3 linked regions of the Cricetulus griseus genome follow. The protein of the gene in region 1 purifies or fractionates together with the protein of each later gene. This does not show direct contact. Links are inferred from orthologs where the notes say so. Each region holds a gene or a part of one and is shown on either strand. Other genes may lie near its edges.

Region 1 (6,426 bases):
TGCTTTACAGCTTGGGCTACCCTTGAACTTGCCATGTAGCTTCAGGCTGTCCTTAAACTTTCCAGTCTTCGCTCTGGAATGTGATCCCAGGGGTACATCACCAAACTAGGTCAAAGTACATGTGTGAAGTATAAGACACACTCCCCTCAAGCCTACTTAAGACTCTACACTAAAGGACCCACAGAGGCAGTAAGTGGACTGCTGGATCTACCAGGTCAAGTACCTTAACAGGATGAATTGAAGACGTACAGGCTGTTTCTGCCCCAGACTGAGGCCAGCAAATTTCCCCTCTTGGTGATCTGATGTTTGGGGTGGATCTCCAACACACTTTAGCCTGGAGAAACTGAGGCTCTTCGATGAGCAGGTGTGACTACAAAATTCTGGACAAGCAACGAAGCCAAAGGTGGCTCTGAGAACGGTGACTGTGAAGCTCCAGCAGCCAGAGGGCTAGGGCACTGTCGGGCCTTCCAATGTGTGTACTGTGCTTCACCCTCCATCAAACAAGGCTCCCAACCCATGGCCGCAGGGACAGCAGCCCCTGGAGCGATCATGGACGAGCTGCTGCTGCGACTCCCTCTACCACTGAGCCTCTGCAGCCTCAGTTTCCTTCCCCAAGTCACCTCAAAAAAGTTAAATGTGACAAGAGCTATCAAGCCTAGAAACACCATCGCATCCCACAGCTCTCAAAAGGTTAATACAAAAACCACACTGGAAAATCCGAATTTCTGCTCTGCTCCAATAATCTCTCCTGCCCAAAGCTCACCAAAGCTTGCTGATTTCGACAATCATTATATTCCAAAGAGGCGGAATACAGCAAGGGTGAGCTGGGAAACAGGTGACAAGCTGAGTAAATACCCACAAGCCCCTCAGGTTATGAGGGCCTAAAATGCCAAGGCCCTTGGGGACCTAACCGGCTCAAGGGAATTCGGAAATTCTGTAGAAGGAACCCGAACTGAGAAAAGCCAGAGCGTAGGAAAGATGTTCAGACCGAAAGACAACCAGTAAAATGCTAAAGTGTTCATGTCAAAACTTAAAGCTTTTGTTAAATATGTCCCCAAACCCATGCAAACGCCTTCTTTGGAAAACAGTAGCCCGAATAAAGGATGGGACCGAGACTGCAGGACGAAATCTCCGAAGTCTGGGTGCAGGCAGCGGGGCCCGCCGATGCCCAGTGACCCGCGCGGGGGCGGGGCTGCGCTGGCCTCAGGTCCACCCGCCTGCAGCGAGCTCGGGAGCCCGCTGCGGGCCGTGGGGAAGGCACGCACACTTTGGATGCGTCCCTTTGTGCCGGGGACCGCAATACCTACGACACCGGTCAGCTCGCCGCAGCGGCGCGCCACCAGGCAGCCCGCGCCCCCTTCTCCATTCGCCAAGCTGCGCGCAGAGGCGCGCGACCGACGCCACCAGGGCTGTCAGCGGAGCGCGACCAGCCCCCGCCCCGGCTGGAGGGGCCGCGGGCCCCGGCGTCCCGCACTGCTGCGTCGGCTGACAGGGGCGCTCTCAGAGGACACCGCGCGACGCGCTCCGGGGTGGCCACCCCCTGCGGCCGCCGGGCCCCCGCTGCCGGCGCCTCCGGCAAAGTTGGCGCAGGCTCTCCTGGGGGCGCGCGGGGCCGCCGTCAGGGCTCCTGCGGCCCGGCTGTGCCCTGGCTTTGTTCGCGCCCCGCGCGCACCCTCGCTCCGCACCCCCGCGGCCCTGCCCACCTTCTGGATGGTCTGCTGTGTGACCTCCCCTTTGCCTCTCGGCCGCGCCGACGCGAAGGCCACGGACATGGTGGCGGCGCGGACTCAGCCCGTGATCATTCGGGTTTATTCTCCGGCTGCGCCCCGCGGCCCGAGGTGCCCATTCTCCGCAGCGCGGGGGCGGGGGCGCGGGGGATGCCGTGCCGTGGGCTCGCCCGCCCGCCTGCCGCCGACGCGCGCCCGGGCCTCCCGCGTCCCTGCGCCTTAAGCCACCGCCTTCCGGGACTGGACCCCGCGCCGAGTCCGCCGCTGTGCCGCCTGCGCTCTGCGTCCAGCCGGCCGCCGCCGCGCCGCCCCTGTGCCGGGCTTCGGTGGTTGCGCCCGCCCCGCCGCGCCCCGCCCCTGCCCGCTCCGCCCGCGCGCCCCGCCCCGCCGCGCCGCACGTCCCCCTGACGCCAGACGCCGCGGACGCCAGCAGCGTGGCCCGAGACGGCCGGCGGGCGGGCGCAAGCGGTGAGTGTGCGCTTTTGAGCGGCGGCGGCGGCGGCCCTAGCTCGCGCGTCCGCCGGGATGAGCTACGACCGCGCCATCACCGTCTTCTCGCCCGACGGCCACCTCTTCCAAGTGGAGTACGCGCAGGAGGCGGTCAAGAAGGGCTCCACTGCGGTGAGCCGGCCCGAGCGGGGCCTGCGCGGCAGGGCGCACGGGGAAGCAGGGCTCGCAGACCCGGGAGCGGGGCCCCCGCGTTCTGCTTGCGGCGGGTGGCCCGGGAGGTGACGGGAGCCGAAGGGTGGCGACCTAGGAAGGAAGCCGGGCCGCGGGGACTGCGCCATGCTCCCTGGAGAGCCGGCTTGCCCGCTGCAGAGCGTCACGGGGAGCGCATCGCGCGCCCGGCCGGGGCCATCTTGGTGCTGTTGGCGCGGCGCGGCGCGGACGACGGAGGCCGCAGGTGCGCGCGGGAGGTGGGGGGCTGAGAGTCGGCGCCGGCGGGGACTTGGGGACCTCCCGGCTAGGCCAGACGGGCGTTGGTGAACAAAGGGCGGCCCTGCGACGGGGACCGACTGCTTCCGGGTTCGCCTGCTCCACCGACGCTGTATTCTGGTTCCGGTGGGCCTCTCGCCGCGTCCCGGGATTTGCTCGGGGACCTTAGCGCCATTTGGAAATGGGACCGCCCGACACCTGCAAGCGTCAGCAGTGAGAGAGTTCTGCGTTTTTCTTTTTCCTGAGTCACTGGGTCTTTGGGAAAGACACGTGGTTCTGAGACTCGAAGCGCTTGCATTTCCCGAGTATTTAATCGCTTTGAAAGTAAAGTCCCAAATCTTTTGGTGACTTAACCCACCCCCAAAAAACTAGAGTGAGCAGGCTTGGAGGCCCAGGCCTGTAATCCCGGCATTGGGAAGGTTGAGACCCGAAAATCTCAAATTCAAAGCCAGCCTGGGCTTCTAGAAGAGAATCTCTATGTATGTATGTATGTATGTATGTATGTATGTATGTATGTATGTATGTATGAGTTATTGACTCCTCTTTATGTGCATTGGCGTTTGTGCCTACATGTATGTCTGTGTGAGGGTGTCACATCCCTTGGAACTGGATAGATACTGGAACTGCCTTGTTGGTGCTGGCAATTGAACCCGGGTCCTCTTAAACCTGAGCCCTCTCTCCAGCCCCAAGAGACAGCTGTGCAGTGGTGGTGCACACCTTTAATCCCAGCGTTCTGGAGGCAGAGACAGGAGGATCTCTGTGATTTTGAGACCACCGTGGTCTACAGAGCGAGTTCCTGGATAGGCTCCAAAGCTACAAAGAAACCCTGTCTCAGGGAAAAACAAACAAAGAACAACAACAAAAACTTGTGAGGCTGGTGAGACGACTAAGTTGGTGAAGGGCTTGCTCTTACAAGCATCAAGACCTGGTCACACTGTGACACTCTAGACTGTCGATAAAGTTTACTTTGAATCAGGGGGTAGAGCCAGCCATAGAGAAGCAAGCAATTTCGATACAGAAGACATACAGTAAGGAAAGGGGAAAGCCAGAACTAGAGTTTGAGCTTCATTTTGGTTCTGGGAGGAGGGAAGATATGCCCCTCTTGAGGTGTATCCTGCCATAAAGCAAGGTCAGTTAGTTGTGCCTCAGCCTCCCTGAGCTAGCAGGTTTTCATCCCAGCCTATAAATAGATACATAAATAGAAACTTAATCTATGTGTTGCATTTTTTGTTTGTTTGTTTTTTTTTGTTTTTTTGTTTTCTTTTTTGAGACAGGGTTTCTCTGTGGCTTTGGAGGCTGTCCTGGAACTAGCTCTTGTAGACCAGGCTGGTCTCGAACTCACAGAGAAACGCCTGCCTCTGTCTCCCGAGTGCTGGGATTAAAGGCGTGGGCCACCAACACCCGACTGGAAACTTAATTTAAACCTACATATGGTGACTGTAACAGAGCCAGGGTGCAGGAGCAGAAGCCCTGTGAGGTGTGGCCAATGGGGTGCATAATGTGGGCAGTGGGGCTGTAGACAATAATTAAAATACCTGTAGATTCATGTGCCAACCCCTAAGCTGATGGAAAGACATCATTTGGTGCCCCACAAATGTAGCAGTACTTTCTAGTTGGGATTGCTGGCCCACAAAGGACATGGAGACTTGTTAATAATGAAAGCTTGGCCTTATCTTAGGCTTGTTCGCAGGTAGCTCTCATAACTTAATTAACCCATATAATTTTTTTAGTCTACATTCTGCCACGTGGCTCAGTTGCCTCTTAGTACTGCACAAAATCATGTGTGCCTAGATTCCTTCTTCCAGTCTCTCTCTCTGCCCAGAAGTCTCTCCTGTTCTCTCCTGCCTAGCTATTGGCCATTTAGCTCTTTATTAAAGTCATTAGAAAACGCCAACGCCTTAGGCAAAGACACTTCTTTACAGCATAAACAAATATTCCGAAACATCCACCTACCCACTTTTTTTTTGTTATGTTTTTTTGGTTTTTCCGAGACAGGGTTTCTCTGTGTAGCTTTGGAGCCTGACCTGGCACTTGCTCTGGAGACCAGGCTGGCCTCGAACTCACAGAAATCCACCTGCCTCTGCCTCCCGAGTGCTGGGATTAAAGGCGTGCGCCACCAATGCCCGGCTTTGTTTTTATTTTCTTAAAAGCAGCTTCACACAATGGCATCCCAGCTCTTAGGAGGCAGAGACTGGAGGGGTGCTATTGGCTTGCTGGTCAGCAAGTGTAGCACAATCTGAGTTCAGGTTCAGGGTCTCGAAAAACGTTAAGTTTGGAGGGGCTGGAGAGACGTTGCAGCAGCTAAAAGGGTGCAAGCAGAGGACCGAGATAAGTTTTCAGCGCCCAGGTTGTAAGGTCAAAACTGCCTTGAATTCTAGCTCCCGGGAGTTCAGCATCACTGACTTCCATGGGCAGGTTCGAGAGCATGCGCGCGCGCGCGCGCGCACACACACACACACACACACACACACACTTAAACCACTTTTGAAGTTGGAGAAGAAATGGAGGAAGACACCGTTATGAACCTCTGGCCTCCGTATGCTAAGGGACATAACCATACACAACCATAGGAAAGCTCTGGAATCTGGAGGTGCCTGTTACACCCAGCTAATTTCTCTGGACCCTGCAGGTCACATGAGTCAGCACAGAAGGACCTTGTAAAAATCACTCCAGACCAGGGGTGGTTCAGACATAGCTTCTCCCTTGGTAGGATCTCCCTTGGTAGGATCACCAAAGGTTCCTGCATTGGTGGGGGGGGGGGTGCTGCCCACATCAGAGTGAGCTGCCAACTAGTTGTGCCCTCTGTGCCCAACTGCCTTGTTCAGGAATTGCTGCATCTGCTTCTGTTCCTCCCTTGCTAAAGGGTTAAATATCAATGAGGTAGGTCCTGGGTTTATTGTGTTTGGTTTGGTTTGAGTTTGGATGCTAGGCAAGCACCATCTACATCCACAGCCCAATTTCATTTGTTTAAACAGCGGCCACTCCCCCCCCACCCCCTTCTACAATACCCAGCATAATCAGGGACTGGTGTGTTAAATTAATGGGTAGTGGCTCACTTTGTAACACACTAGGACCTACCAGCAGTATGTGTAGTGTGAGCAGGCGTGGTGGTAGCCTGGGGCCAATTGGAGTTCAGTTTTCCAGCATCTATCTGATGCAGTGGTTTATTAGGCCTTGGGGTCTTGTGCAGGACTGTTTAGCTGTGTTACAGCTGTGACCGTTGTAGTGTTTTAAAGGCATGAGATCAGACACTCGGGTCCCGGTAACTTATCCTAGTCCACAGGAGGAGATCTATGTCCTTGGTGTGGTACAGTGTGTCAAGTGATAGGCCAGAAATGGGTGGGGGTACCTTCTTGCCCTAAGCCTTTCCACTCTGCTGTGCCAGAGATGAACAGCTGTCCTGCTTATGTGTATATATGTGTGTGTGTGTATGTATGTATGTTTTTTTTTCAAGACAGGCTTTCTCTATGTAACAGCCCTAGCTGTCCTGGAACTAGCTCTGTAGACCAGGATGGCTTCGAACTCACAAAGATCCACCTGCCTCTGCCTCCCGAGTGCTGGGGTTAAAGGCATGTGTCACCACGGCCCAGCCTCTGCTAATTTAATTCTTTAAAAAAAAAATTTTTTTTTTGAATTTATTATGTATAGTGTTCTGCCTGTATGTATGCCTGCGGGCCAGAAGAGGGCACCAGGTCTCATTATGGATGGTTGTGAGCCACCATGTGGTTGCTGGGAATTGAACTCAGGAAGAGCAGCCTTAATT
Region 2 (6,426 bases), on another chromosome or scaffold:
GTAAGACTGAGTAGTAAAGTGATACGCCATGGACAGACTACTGGAAAGGTGTCTAAACACAAAGGCAATTATAGACGCAGGCAAGCCAGGGAGCTGGAAGACAGCAACAGCGGCAGCTAACACTTAGTGCTCAAAAACAGCGGGTACCACTTAGATGTTCTCAGGGAATAACCCCTTACTCCTCACAGTACGAGACACACTGCAAGTCCTGTCATACATGAGAACACTGAGACAGCAATAAAATAACCTGTTTCCAGGTTATTTTATTGCTTCCAGGGGACAGCAGAGCTGGAACCAAAACTAAGCAGTGCAGCACAGCATCCTTCCTTTCTCTCCCCCTTTTCTTATATTTGTTGACAATAGACTTATTTCATACAATATATTCTGATCACCATTTCCCCTCCCCTAATTTCTCCCAGGCCCCCATCACCTCCCTACCCACCCAAATCCACACCCTTTCTTTTTTTTTTCTCATTAGAAAACAAACAGACAGGGCTAGAGAGATGGTTCAACCGTTAAAGGCTAGGCTCACAACCAAAAATGTAAGAAAACAAATAGGTAACTAATAATAATAAACACATTAAAACAAACAAACCAGAATTGGACAAAAAACAGAAAAAAAAGAGCCAAAGAAAAAGCGTAAGGTCTACATACAGACACAGTGACACACACATTTGCACACACAGAAATCCCATAAAAACCAGAAATCATAATATATAAGCAAAAGGCCTGTAAGGTTTAAAAAAAAAAAACGCCCAGACAAAGCATTAAGAAGCAAACAAACAAACAAAAAACCCTCCGAAGTCATAACTTTGTGTGGTTAAGTGTGGTCTGTATACACTCCTACTCCACAGAAGAAAACTCCTTTTTCCTCTGTGAGAGGTTATTAACTGGAGATAGCTTCCAAGTTAGGGATGGGGTTTGTCTACTTGTCTTAGCACTGGGCCCCCATGCATGCTCTGTGCATATTGCCAGTCTCTGGGAGTTCTTATGTTGCATCAGTCCTGCTGTGTATAGAAGGCTTGTTTCCTTGGTGAACACCATACTTTTTTTTACTTTTTTTTTTGGTTTTTTGAGACAGGGTTTCTCTGTATTGCTTTGGAGGCTATCCAGGAACTCACTCTGTAGATCAGGCTGCCTCAAACTCACAGAGATCCACCTGCCTCTGCCTCCCGAGTGCTGGGATTAAAGGTATGAGCCACCAACACCGGGCAATACACGATACTTTCTTAAGAGAAACTTGTGTGTGCATGTGCACACAGTTAGTGCACATGTAGATCAGAAGTTAACATTGGTGTTTCCTTTGTTGCTCTCCACCTTATATTCTGAGGCAGGGTCTCTCTCTGGACAAGAGATCATCAGTTGGCTAGGCTGACCTTACTTTCACACGGGCGTTGGGGATCCAAACTCAAGTCATACTTGCCAGGTCCAGTGTTGATCATCCTAACGGCTATACTCTAGTGTCTCCCAAAGAAAAGTTAATTACTCCAGCAGTTAGTAAAGTAAGAAAGTCAATGGCTCTCTGAGTTATGAGCAGTAAGAATCTCACTAAATCAAGGCCTAGGGCTACCTGTATCTCAGTGGTAGTGTGCTTGCCTCCCATTATGTGACATCTTAGGTTCAGCCATCAGTGCTAGCCCCCTCACTATAAAACCCCACAGAGTCTTCCAATCACCCTACAAGGTGTGTGCACTAGGAGGACGCCCCGCTCTTACTCTGTGGGCCTCTTCCTCACCACACTCCATCTGAGTGTATAACTCACTACAGCCCAAATCCAACACACATTTATAGCAATTCAAAAAGAGGACCTTGAAAAGAAGCCACAAGAAGCATTTCATTAGGGCAAGGCACAGCCACAACTCCCCACATACCCTTTCCGGAGAAGGTCATGACTCTCGAAGGGCCCGCTTGCTGAGAGCTCTGTCACTGGAATACTGTCCTTCAGCTGCGACCCAAGGCCTCTGGCATTCTACAACACAAAGTCAGCATGGCAGTTAAAGGAGACAGAAGATAAGGGCTGTGCCCTCAAGGAGCCCTGGATCTGCACAGACAGAGCCTAAGTACTGTGGTAGCCAGCATACAAGGTACAGTGAGTAATACCACACTTGGGGGAGAAGAACTGGCCCTCTCTGACTTCTGAATGTGTCTGCAGGGAAAGCATTTTATTTAAAAAAAAAAGATATGAATACAAAAACAAACTAAAACCATCTGAGACCAACTAACATATTAATGAAGCGGCAAAATTCAAAGATGCCCTAAAACTGACAAGTCTTGGAAGGTTTATGGCAAGATCAATAAGATTCACTTCACTGGAAAGAGACTGCCCTTAGGTTTAATGCAAAGAAATGAAAGATTTAACACAACAAAAAGGCTGAGAATGGAACACTGGGGAACACCAATCCTTTAGGACAGATCTATGGAAAATAAAAGACATGGAATTAAGTCATGACACCTAGGGAAATGAGGTTATAGGAACCAAGAGAAAGGGGGAGTGGTTGGTTACCAGAAGTAAAAATAAATGCAGCTAATTGAGATATCATAAAAAGCTGGACTGTGGTGGCACGTGCCTTTACACTCAGGAGGCAGAGACAGGTGGATCTTGTGAGTTCAAGGCCAGCCTAGTCTACAGACTCCAATGCTACACAGAGAAACCCTGTCTGGAAAAACCGAGAGAGGAGGAGGAGAAGAGGAGAGAGAGAGAGAGAGAGAGAGGGAGGGAGGGAGGGAGGGAGGGAGGGAGGGAGGGAGGGAGACCCCTGTAAAAAGTTTAAAAGCAGCCTCTGGAACTGATACGGTCACCCTATGTGTAACATCCCTATCTTCTCGGGTACAGAAAAATGCAAGCCAGTGGGTAACCATCTTTGCAATGTCCTTCTGTAAAATATCTGGACTCCTTAAGGTTCTAGTCCAGTGTCAGTTAAATTAAGTCCACAAAGACCTAAAACCATCCTCATTTCGGAGTGTTTCTCACACTCCTTTACAATGGTTCGCGGTATTTGCCAACACAAGCTTTCTGGATGTGGGCAGATGGGGCTGCAAGGAGTGCTTGTATCAGGTCCGTGCCATGGTGACTCAGGAGTTCTGCTCAAAGAGAAACAGAAAGTGGCAAAGGAGGAAAGGCCAGAAGGGGGAGAGAGGGAGTCCCAGCACTAACCCATGCAGACAAACCGGGAGCAACACATGGCGCAGGGAGAGAGATGTTTGTAAACCGAGACTGAATTGTATAAATGCAAGCCTGCGGTCGTGGCCAGAGCTTGGGGCTGTAGACTCCAGTCACCCGAGGGAGCGGGAGAGTGGCGGTATCCCAACACCCACACAAGGCTCGGCTTTCTGAGGTGCACTGGGCGTCCGCGCCAACTACCGGGAAGGGACGCGCAGGCCTGGGTTGCCCCGGGGACCGAAGCGCGCGGTCCTGCGGGAACCAGCACTACCCGAGAGCGCGCAGCCGGCGTCATGCCCACGCCGGACACCCTTCGGGAGCGCGCAGCCAGGCTCATCCTCGAACCAGATACCCGCCGGGACCGCGCAGCCGTGGTCGTGCCCGCGCCACGGACACACGCCGCGATCACGGTCGCTCGCGTTCACTCACCATCTTGGAAACAGCTCTGCGAAAGCCTCTCAGCCCGCTATAGTCGGCCGGCCAAGCTGCTCACTTCCGTTTCCGGGGCCGACCCACCCATATCCGCCGGAAGTGCGTCCGTCCGGCCAGGAAGGAAAGAGGGCGTGGGAGGGGTAGGGAGTCTCTCTGTGCCTGGGCTCCCACGCTTGCGATCCCGGGGGAGCGAGGGACAAGGGCACCGCCAGGGTGTGTGCTGGGCCTGGACTCGCGTGGACGGTTTTAGATAGGCGTGTGCAGATGCTTAGACTTCCCACGGGCCATGCCAGGAGGTCTAGGGCGAGATTTGCATAAAGTTCTGCTGACGACGCAAAACTCGGACAAGAGGCTTTTACATCTTTATAAGTCGAAGATTCGAGGCTTGGTGCATGTGGAACCCAAAGGAAGGAGCGAGCTTGGTTACTGAACTACAGCCGAAGGAGGACTCCGGGGATTGGGGGATGTGGGTGTTATTGAACTTGGGGGAGGTCATAACCTTTGTCCCTAGTCAGGTCGGGCCATCCGTCCTCAGTAAGCCAATTGAAAGCGGAAGGCAGAAAAGAGATATTTAATATTTAGTCCATGTGGGTGCACAGAGAAGATGACAAAGATTTGGGGGCTCCTTGAGACTAAATCCTTTTTTCAATAAAATGGGTGTAAGTGTGTAGCAATTTAAGTCAGTGATGCTGCACGTGAGTCATTTCCCTAAATCTTTCCATTAAACTTAGTAATTTCTTAAAATGTGTTTTGTTTGACTGTATGTGTGTGCCCGGTGCCCTCACGCTCCTTTACGAGGTCTAGAGGTATCTGCCAACACAAGTCTGGGAATCTCCTGGAAGTAGAGTTTCAGACAGATGGTTGTGAGTCACCCTGTGGGCGCTGGGAACGGAAACAAGCCCTCCGTGAGAGCAACAGGTGCTGTTAACCATTGAGCCATCCTTCCATGACCCTTGGCTCACATTTTGAGAGGCCAGTGCAGCATGGAGGACAAGGCTAGAGCAGGTCTCTTTTGGGGGAACAATGAGACAGCTGGTCACTTTGATAGAGAGAGGAACACTGTTGTTCTCTTGCTTTCACCTGGGACTGGAGCCCAAGAGATGGTGGCTCTCCAATTCTGGGTACATAATTTTTAATTAAACGGTGGAGATGACCTCACAGATGTGCCCAGACTGTGTCTCCTAGGTCAGTGGTTCTCAACCTTCCTAACACTTCGACCCTTTAATACAGTTCCTCATGTTGTGGTGACCCCCATCATAAAATTAGTTTGTTACTTCTTCATAACTGCATTTTTTGCTACTGTTATGAATTGTACTGTAGATATCTGATATGTGACTTCCCCAGTGGGGTTGAGATCCCCATATTGAGAACCATTGTTAGGTGATTAAATCCTCTCAAGTTGGCAATCAAAATTAACCAATGTAGGCCTGGGTGGGCTTTGTAGTTATGAGCATTTGTTGCACTTCCAGAAGACCCAGGTTCATTTCCCATCACCCAGGTCAGTGGCTCACAGCCGCCTGTAACTCTAGTTCCCAGGGATTTCATGCCCTCTTCAGGCACTGCACTCATGTACACAGACACATATGCATACATAAAGATCAATTTTAAACAGGCTGACCATCACAATGCCAGTATTGCTTTGATCCTATGAGCTCGTTATTAAGTATTCTCTACACTACACTGCATTTAAGATCACTGCATGTATATCTGTTTATGGAACTGGATCGATGGCTCAGAGATTAAGAGCGCTGGCAGCTCTTTCAGAGATCTTGAGTTCAATTCCCAGCAACTGCATGGGGACTCACAACCATCAGTGATAAGATCTGGTGCCCTTTTCTGGCATGTAGGCATTCATGCTGGCAGAATACTGTATACATAATAAATAAATATTTTTTAAAGATCTGTATTTACATGTCTGTGCCCCCAGGAAAATTCTAGCATCTTATGTATAAGGAAATTCCTTTTATCCTTATAGTTTCATTCTCTAGTACTGAAAGAAAAAATGCTCAGCAAATATTAGGCTTGAATTTATATCACTCAGTGTGTGTGGTCAACAAATATTAAATGACTATGTTTTTGAGACAAGGTTTCAGTTGCCCACAAGCTCACTGTGTATCTGAGTGTTAAGTGTACACTCTTAGTCCTCCTGTCTCTGTCTCCTGAATCTGGAATTACAGTCATGGGTCATGGTGCCCTCAATTTTTTCTTCAGCTACAGTTTTAGGGCAGGAGAAATGAATGATGTCATGAACCACATGGTGACCATTGCTGCTTGATATTGTTCCAGCATTTCAACATTGCGGACCACACTTATCCAGCACCCTTTTTACTTTCGTTTCTAATGATTCACAATATTTTATGCCTTTTCCTTTGGGAAATTTTGTGCAGGCTTTGTTAAAGAATAAAAATGTGTACAATGGTAGCCTCTCTAAACAAAATAATTCTTTGGGAAAAAGTCCCCACCACTGTGAAACCAGAGTCCTATTGTGTCTTCCTAATTACACCAAGAACAGGAAAGTTAGAGGTTTACCTGAACCCAAGGATGAAATGCCTACACTTCAGATCCAGAGCCTGGGGCCATTAAGGGCAAGAGTTAATAAATACAGAGAAACCAAAATGGTATGGTATAACAGAAAAGAGTAAGACACCAGGACCTTCCCTTTTGGGAGTGCATGAGGGGAACAGACCCATAAAGTAAGACTAGGAAACTGTAGTCTGGTGTCTGCTCCCCAGAAGAAGTCCTTTTCCAAAGTCAGGCTTTTGGATAAGGGTCTCCATTCCCTGGGGGCTTGAGGAAAGTTCCTGCTTGTAAAGCTGCCGTTCATGTCTTTAACA
Region 3 (6,426 bases), on another chromosome or scaffold:
GGAAGCAAGCTTCATACGACTCGACGGAGCTTGGATAAGGAGTCATTAACTCAAGGAAGGAAGGAGTGAAATTGTTGAGAAGAATGCCTGAGCTGTCTAAGGACTTTAGTGTGTAAGCAGAAGCGTGGCTTTTTTAGGACAGTCAGCAGAATACATTGAAAAGCTTCAGAGGTGGGGTTTCCAGGGCTATCGACCTCTGGGAAAGGGTCTCAAGGCTGCGATTTCTCTTAGTATCTGCCCACAATTTTCCCAGTCAGTGAAACCTCCCGCAGGGAGACAGTGGAGCTTTCTGGTTTGGATGCAAAACTCACCCTTCCCATAAGCCTCAGTGAAGATCAGAGGTTTCAGGCATTAGCTGGGACCTGGTGAGTGTCAGTGGCCCAGGCTCAAGTATCTTCAGCAAGGGTCAGGGAATGGAGTCAGGCTTTAAGCTGAACATCAGGGAAGGTCAGGGTGGGGTCAAACCACACTTTGAACATTCTATTTTCAAAGGGGGCTCATGATGTTTCTAAGGGAGCTGTGAAGATGAAATGATCTAGGCATGCAACAACAAAGAAATGGGTAAGGAAAATAGAAGTATACACACAGTGGAGCTTCAGCCATAAAGAAGAATGGGTGGGGCTAAGAAGATGGCTGTTGGTGAAGCTCTCACCTTGCAATCACAAAAACCAAAGTTCCATTGCCAGAAGCCATATTTAAAAGCCTGGAGATCTAGTACAGCCTGTAATGCCAGCGCTGGGGAGCTGGAGATAGGCATTTCCCTGGGCTTGCTAACAGTCAGCCTAACCTAATTAGTGATCTCTAGACCAGTGAAAGACCCTACCAAGCTCAAGAAGCAAGGTGTAGCCAGGTGTGGTAGCACACACCTTTAACCCCAGCAGAGGCAGGTGAATCTCGGAGTCTGAGACCAGCCTCATCTACACAATGAGTTTCAGGCCAGCCAAGGCTACATAGTGAGATCCTGTCTCAATTGGGGGCGGGGGGAGGCAGAACAGAAAAAAGGTGGGTATACAGCTACCGAGATACAGTACCTCCTAAATTGACCTCTGACCTCCACACATATGTGCACAAAAAAAAAAAACAAAACGAGGTCAACATTCTTGAAAATAGATGAAGCTGGAGATAATCATGTTAAACAAATTAAGCCAGTCTCAGAAAGACAGATGCTGTGTTTTCTCTCATTTGTTGTTCCTAGATTTTACATAGTCACTGGGAGTGTGTGTGTGTGTGTGTGTGTGTGTGTGTGTGTGTGTGTGCGTGTTAAATTAAAGAAATTAATTTGTTTAGGAAAATGGAGAGGACTAACAGGAGGGGGGAAGGGGCAGGTAATAGGAATAAAGGGAATATGCTCAATTTTCAATCTATACTTACAAGAAAAATTGTTTTAATTTAATGGCTCAAAGTTAAGAGCACTGGCTGCTCTTGCAAATGACCAGGTTTGGTTCCCAGCACCTACATGGCAGCCCACAACTGTCTGTAACTCCAGTTCCAGGGAATCCAATGCCTTCTTCCGGCCTCGGGGGTTACTGCATTCACATGGTACACATACATTGAGGCAGGCAAAAATATTCATACAAATTTTGAAAAATGGTGTTTATTGTTTTTAATTCTGTAAGATGAGCAGTACCTAACGTAAATGAATAGATTTGTTCCTCAAAACCCAAAAGAAAAGAAGGAAGGAAATGAAAAATGAAGAGAAGGAGGAAAAACATTAAATTGTAACTTAGCTCAGCTTGAATGCTTGCACAAACTCCTGGGGCTTTTTGTTTGTTTTTGGGGGGTTTTTTTTGTTTGTTTGTTTTGTTTTTGTTTTTTTTTGTTTTTTTTTTTTTTTTTTTTTGAGACAGGGTTTTTCTTTGTAGCCCTGGCTGTCCTGGAGTTCATTCTATAGACCAGGCCACCCTCAAACTCACAGAGATCTGCCTACCTCTGCCTCCAGAGTGCTGGGATTAAAGTTGGATGTATGGCACCAACGCCAAACTCCTGGATTTTTATCTCCACACCACATAAACCATGCATAGTGGTATGTGTCTGTCATCCCAGCATGTGGAAGGTGGAAGTAGGAGAATCAGGGGTTCAAGAGCATCCTTGGCCAACCTAGGCTACTTGAGAACCTGTCTCAAAAAAAGAAGAAAATAATCCCAGAACTCTGAAGGCAAAGGCAGGCAGGTTCCTGTAAATTCGAGGCCAGTCTGGTCTACATAGTGAGTTCCCCAATAACCAGGGCTACATAAAGATACACTGTCTCGAAAAAACAAACCAACAAATAAAACTAGATGGATGGATGGATGCATGGATGATAGAGTGTGCCTTAGCCAAAGCCAGGTATACACCAAATGAGAAAAATATATATATAAACCGGGAGGTGGTGACCCATGCCTTTAATCCCAGCACTTGGGAGGCAGAAGCAGGCAAATCTCTGAGTTCCAGGCCAGCCTGGCTACACAGAGAAGCCCTGTCTCGAAAAACAACAAAAACAAACAAACAAAAAGAAATAGTAACCATTACTGCCATCCCACTCCACAGCTGAGACACAAAGCCCCGACACTGGAGTCCAAGCACCGCCCAAGGAATCTTGAAGCTCCTAGACCCAGAGGCACAGTGTCCCTTTAACAGGAAGCCTGGCGTCTCCTTTACAACACGGAACCTAAGGCTGTGGAACTGCGGAGACCCACGGACCGGACCAAGGACCGGAAGCGGAAGTTCTCGGCCCGCGCTAAGTGAAAGCGGGCTACATTGTTCATTGACATTCATGTTTGGCGCGGTTGATGCAGTGAGCGCTGTGGCTGCGGGTTTCGGACCGGCTGTAGTCAATAGTGTCCCAACCGTTCCCAGCCCTGCGCGGTCGGGGTTCCCCGGTGAGCTTGGCGTTTTCCATTCCCCCTTGTATCTACAAGCAGGCGACAGGTGGGGCAGTAATCACAGGCGGTGCGGCTGGACAAAAAAACAGAAACTAACAGAAGCCTGTCTGAACATGCGCACACTTGGTTTTGAGTTGAGGCAGGGTATTAGAATAGCGTCTCTCCCTTGTAACCAAGGCTGGCCTCGAACTTGGGGGTCCTCCAGTCTCGGCCTCCCTTGTGCTGGGATGATAGGCATGTGCCACCGCTTGCAGCTTGGAATGGCCTGCTTGGCATTTCTGCTTTGTAGCTACAGGTTATATCTGACTCTGACTGCTCCCTCCCTTTTTCCTTTTCTTTAAAATTGAAGCCTCCACTGAAGAACGGGACCATGGAAGACAAACCGTTGGTATTTTCGAAACAGAAGACAGAAGTAGTTTGCGGTGTGCCCACCCAGGTGATCTGCACGGCCTTCAGCAGCCACATTTTGGTTGTGGTGACCCAGTTCGGGAAGATGGGTACACTAGTCTCCTTGGAGCCCAGCAGCGTGGCCAATGACATCAGCAAGCCAGTGCTCACCACAAAAGTCCTCCTCGGGCAGGACGAGGTAAAGGGGTTGGGAGAACAATCTTTGCTGGCGTCATTTTTCCATAAGGACATGGGTGTCTGATAAGGACCCCTCCATACACACCCAAGGACACAGTCAGCATTCTCCAGACCTTTCAGATCTGAGGGTGCCCTGGCTGCCCCTAGTGATGCTTTTCCCATCGTGTCAGCATTTTTACTCAACACTCAGTGGAGCTATTGATTTTGTGACACAGCCATCTCCTCAGTTTGACCCGTCGTGATGGCTTTATGTTAATGAAGGCTTGATGTTTACGTCTGCTTCTTCAGTCTTGACAGCATTCCCCTTTGTATGCATGTCTATCTGGATTAGGGATAACCAGAGAGATGGTATGCAGAGGCACCAAGGGGGAAAAATCCTAATGATGCCTCGTCAGCTGTTTGTTATATCTGCGGTGTGCAGTCCACTGAGCCCTTCGAATAACTGTTGTCTTGGCTTCCCTGGAGGTGACTTAGGGAAGGTGTGGGAAGCTGGTCTGGATCCATGATGGGTGCTTAAGGAGAGCATCGGGAAACAGTGTTTGAGCTGGGTGTGGTTGTGCAGGCCTGTAATCCTCTCACTTGGTAGACTGGAGCAGAAGGGTTGCTGCAAGTTTATGATCAGACTGAGCTATGCAATGAGTTCGAGGCCAGCTGGGGATAGATCCTCCTTTCCCCCTTAAGAAAACAAAAACCAGGGCTGGAGACAAGGTTCAGCAGATAAGAGCACTGACTGTTCTTCCAAAGAACCTGGGTTTGATTCCCAGCACCCACATGGTGGCTCACAACCATCTGTAACTCCAGTCCTAGAAGATTCAGCACCTTCCTCTGTGGGTATGTATATGGTACACAGTCATATAGTCAGGCAAAACATCCATATACATAAAGACAAATAAATATATTAAAAGAAAATTGGAGGGGTGGTGGTGCACGCCTTTAATCCCAGCACTTAGGAGGCAGAGGCGGGTGGGTCTCTTCCAGTTCAAGGTCTACATAGTGAGTTCCAGGAGTTTCCAACAACAAAAGAAAAAATACAAACAAAAAACCCAAAAGCCACTTGGTACAGTGTGGTTCCAGCACTTGGGAGGTAGGAACAAGAGGACCAGGGGTTCAGTTTCTCCTTTTTTGTTGTTATTTTTTGGTTTTTTGTTTTTAGAAATAGGGTTTCTCTGTGTACCTCTGGCTGTCCTGAAACTCCCTCTGTTCCAGGCTGGTTATTACAGCTATATAAGGGCAATGTGAGCTACATGAGACCCTCTATTTAAAATGCAGGGAATGTTGAGATAACTCAGGAGTAAAGGCACTTGGCGTGCAAGCCTGTGTTCAGCTCCCTGAACCCACAGTGGAAGGAAAGAACTAACTGCCACAAGTTGTACTCTCTCATATATACACTATATATATTAAGTGGAGACTAAATAGCTCTATGTATCAGTGCACATCTTTAATCTTAACACTTAGGAGATGAAAGTAGGCCTGGTCTACATAGCAAGTTCCAGATCAACCAGGGCTATACAGTGAATTCTTGCCTCACAAATAAATAAAGGATGGATGGATGGAGTGGAGACTGAGGAAATAGCTCAATTCCTAAAGTCCTTGCAAGCATGGCCTGAGTTCGATCCTCTGAATTCACATAAAAAAGCTTGGTGGTGAGTGCCTTTGATCCTAGCACTAGGGAGGCTAAGCCAGCCTCAGAGACAGAAGGATTCTGGGGCTTGCTGGCCATGCAGTCTGGAGAATTCCAGGTCAATGAGACCTCGTCTCAAAGTAGATGATGGTGTTCTACGGCTGATACCTGGGGTTGTCTTCAGGTCTCCTCAAGCCCACACACATGCACACTCTTTTTTAAAAAAACAAACTGGATATGATAGCATATGCCTGGAATCCTAGCACTCAGGAGGCTAAGTAAGTAAGATCGCCATGAGTTCAATAACCTAAGCTATATGAATCCCAAGCTAGCCTGAGTTAAAGACAGTTGACAAACTGTCTTAAAAAAAAAAAAAAAGTGAGGTTTCCTGCAGTCATGGTCCTGTCTTCCCCCCCTCCCCAGCCTCTCATCCATGTCTTTGCGAAGAACCTGGTATCGTTTGTGTCTCAAGAAGCAGGAAACAGAGCTGTCCTCCTGGCCATGGCTGTGAAGGACAAGAGCATGGAGGGGCTGAAGGCCTTGAAGGAGGTGATCCGGACATGCCAGGTGTGGTGACCTGCAGTCAGCAGGGCATGACAGTGGGATCTGGCGGACGCTCAGCAGGATCTGTGAGACCCTTCTTTCGAGTGCCAGGACAGTCAAGTGGAGACTCATTCTCTGGCTTTAGCCCTTGAAGCTGGAAATAACATGCAGATCTCAGGGGACTCTCACTGTGTGACTGCTGTGTTCCACCTGGGGCACTGGAAACGGTTCTGGGCTGCAGCAGAGGCACCTGCTGAGTGGAAACCATCAGCCAGTTTTGGGGACTGGCAGCCCTAGGTGTGCAGCAGCACTTGTGGGGATACTTTTTTTTTTTTTTATTAAAAAAATAAAATACTTGGCTAGTCTTGTCAATAATGCTGAGACATTGTGGTCATGTGTCAAGCTTCAGGGCACCTGAGGTGGGAGGAAAACCTGTTTAGCAAAAGCACAGTACACGGTTGCTGGTGTATGAGGTAGATCCCAGGCATACAGTCAGCCAGCATTGGGTACTGTCCTCCCTATGTGGGGGCATGGGCCAGAGCCTCAAGTTACTGAATATAGTGAGGGACATGCATGTGCAGAGACCAGATGTGTGGCAAGCAGAACAAGGGTGACCATGCAGGTGGATTCCCTAAGGATAGCTGGATGGCAAATCCATGGGGAGTGTGGGAGGCCAAAGAGTGATCCTGAGCTCAGAGAGGAGGGGTTCTGTATGGAGTTGGGGTCCCCCCTTTACAAATATTTCCAAGGCTCACTGCAAGGGTTGGGGAACCAGTATCAGGCCTTGACATTAGACTGGCATTTTTGCCTAGAGTT

Evidence for each region.
Region 2: the proteins of Psma7 (region 1) and Pomp purify together in Homo sapiens (co-immunoprecipitation; 4 studies listed by BioGRID and IntAct, with this or other methods). This does not show direct contact. The link is inferred for Cricetulus griseus from reciprocal best matches to the Homo sapiens genes PSMA7 and POMP.
Region 3: the proteins of Psma7 (region 1) and Psmg3 purify together in Homo sapiens (affinity purification with mass spectrometry; 3 studies listed by BioGRID and IntAct, with this or other methods). This does not show direct contact. The link is inferred for Cricetulus griseus from reciprocal best matches to the Homo sapiens genes PSMA7 and PSMG3.

The regions. Positions count from the first base shown.
Region 1 is NC_048599.1:1,891,556-1,897,981, forward strand, and holds the start of Psma7 (proteasome subunit alpha type-7), read left to right. Parts: upstream 1-2,157; 5' UTR 2,158-2,252; coding exon 2,253-2,348; intron 2,349-6,426. Other genes in the region: calcium-responsive transactivator, read right to left, coding at 1,704-1,772.
Region 2 is NC_048597.1:83,721,855-83,728,280, reverse strand, and holds the start of Pomp (proteasome maturation protein), read right to left. Parts: upstream 3,723-6,426; 5' UTR 3,593-3,722; coding exon 3,590-3,592; intron 1,970-3,589; coding exon 1,872-1,969; intron 1-1,871. UniProt on the Homo sapiens protein: Molecular chaperone essential for the assembly of standard proteasomes and immunoproteasomes. Degraded after completion of proteasome maturation. Mediates the association of 20S preproteasome with the endoplasmic reticulum.
Region 3 is NC_048597.1:76,465,633-76,472,058, reverse strand, and holds Psmg3 (proteasome assembly chaperone 3), read left to right. Parts: upstream 1-2,694; 5' UTR 2,695-2,858; intron 2,859-3,210; 5' UTR 3,211-3,231; coding exon 3,232-3,447; intron 3,448-5,490; coding exon 5,491-5,643; 3' UTR 5,644-5,969; downstream 5,970-6,426. UniProt on the Homo sapiens protein: Chaperone protein which promotes assembly of the 20S proteasome. May cooperate with PSMG1-PSMG2 heterodimers to orchestrate the correct assembly of proteasomes.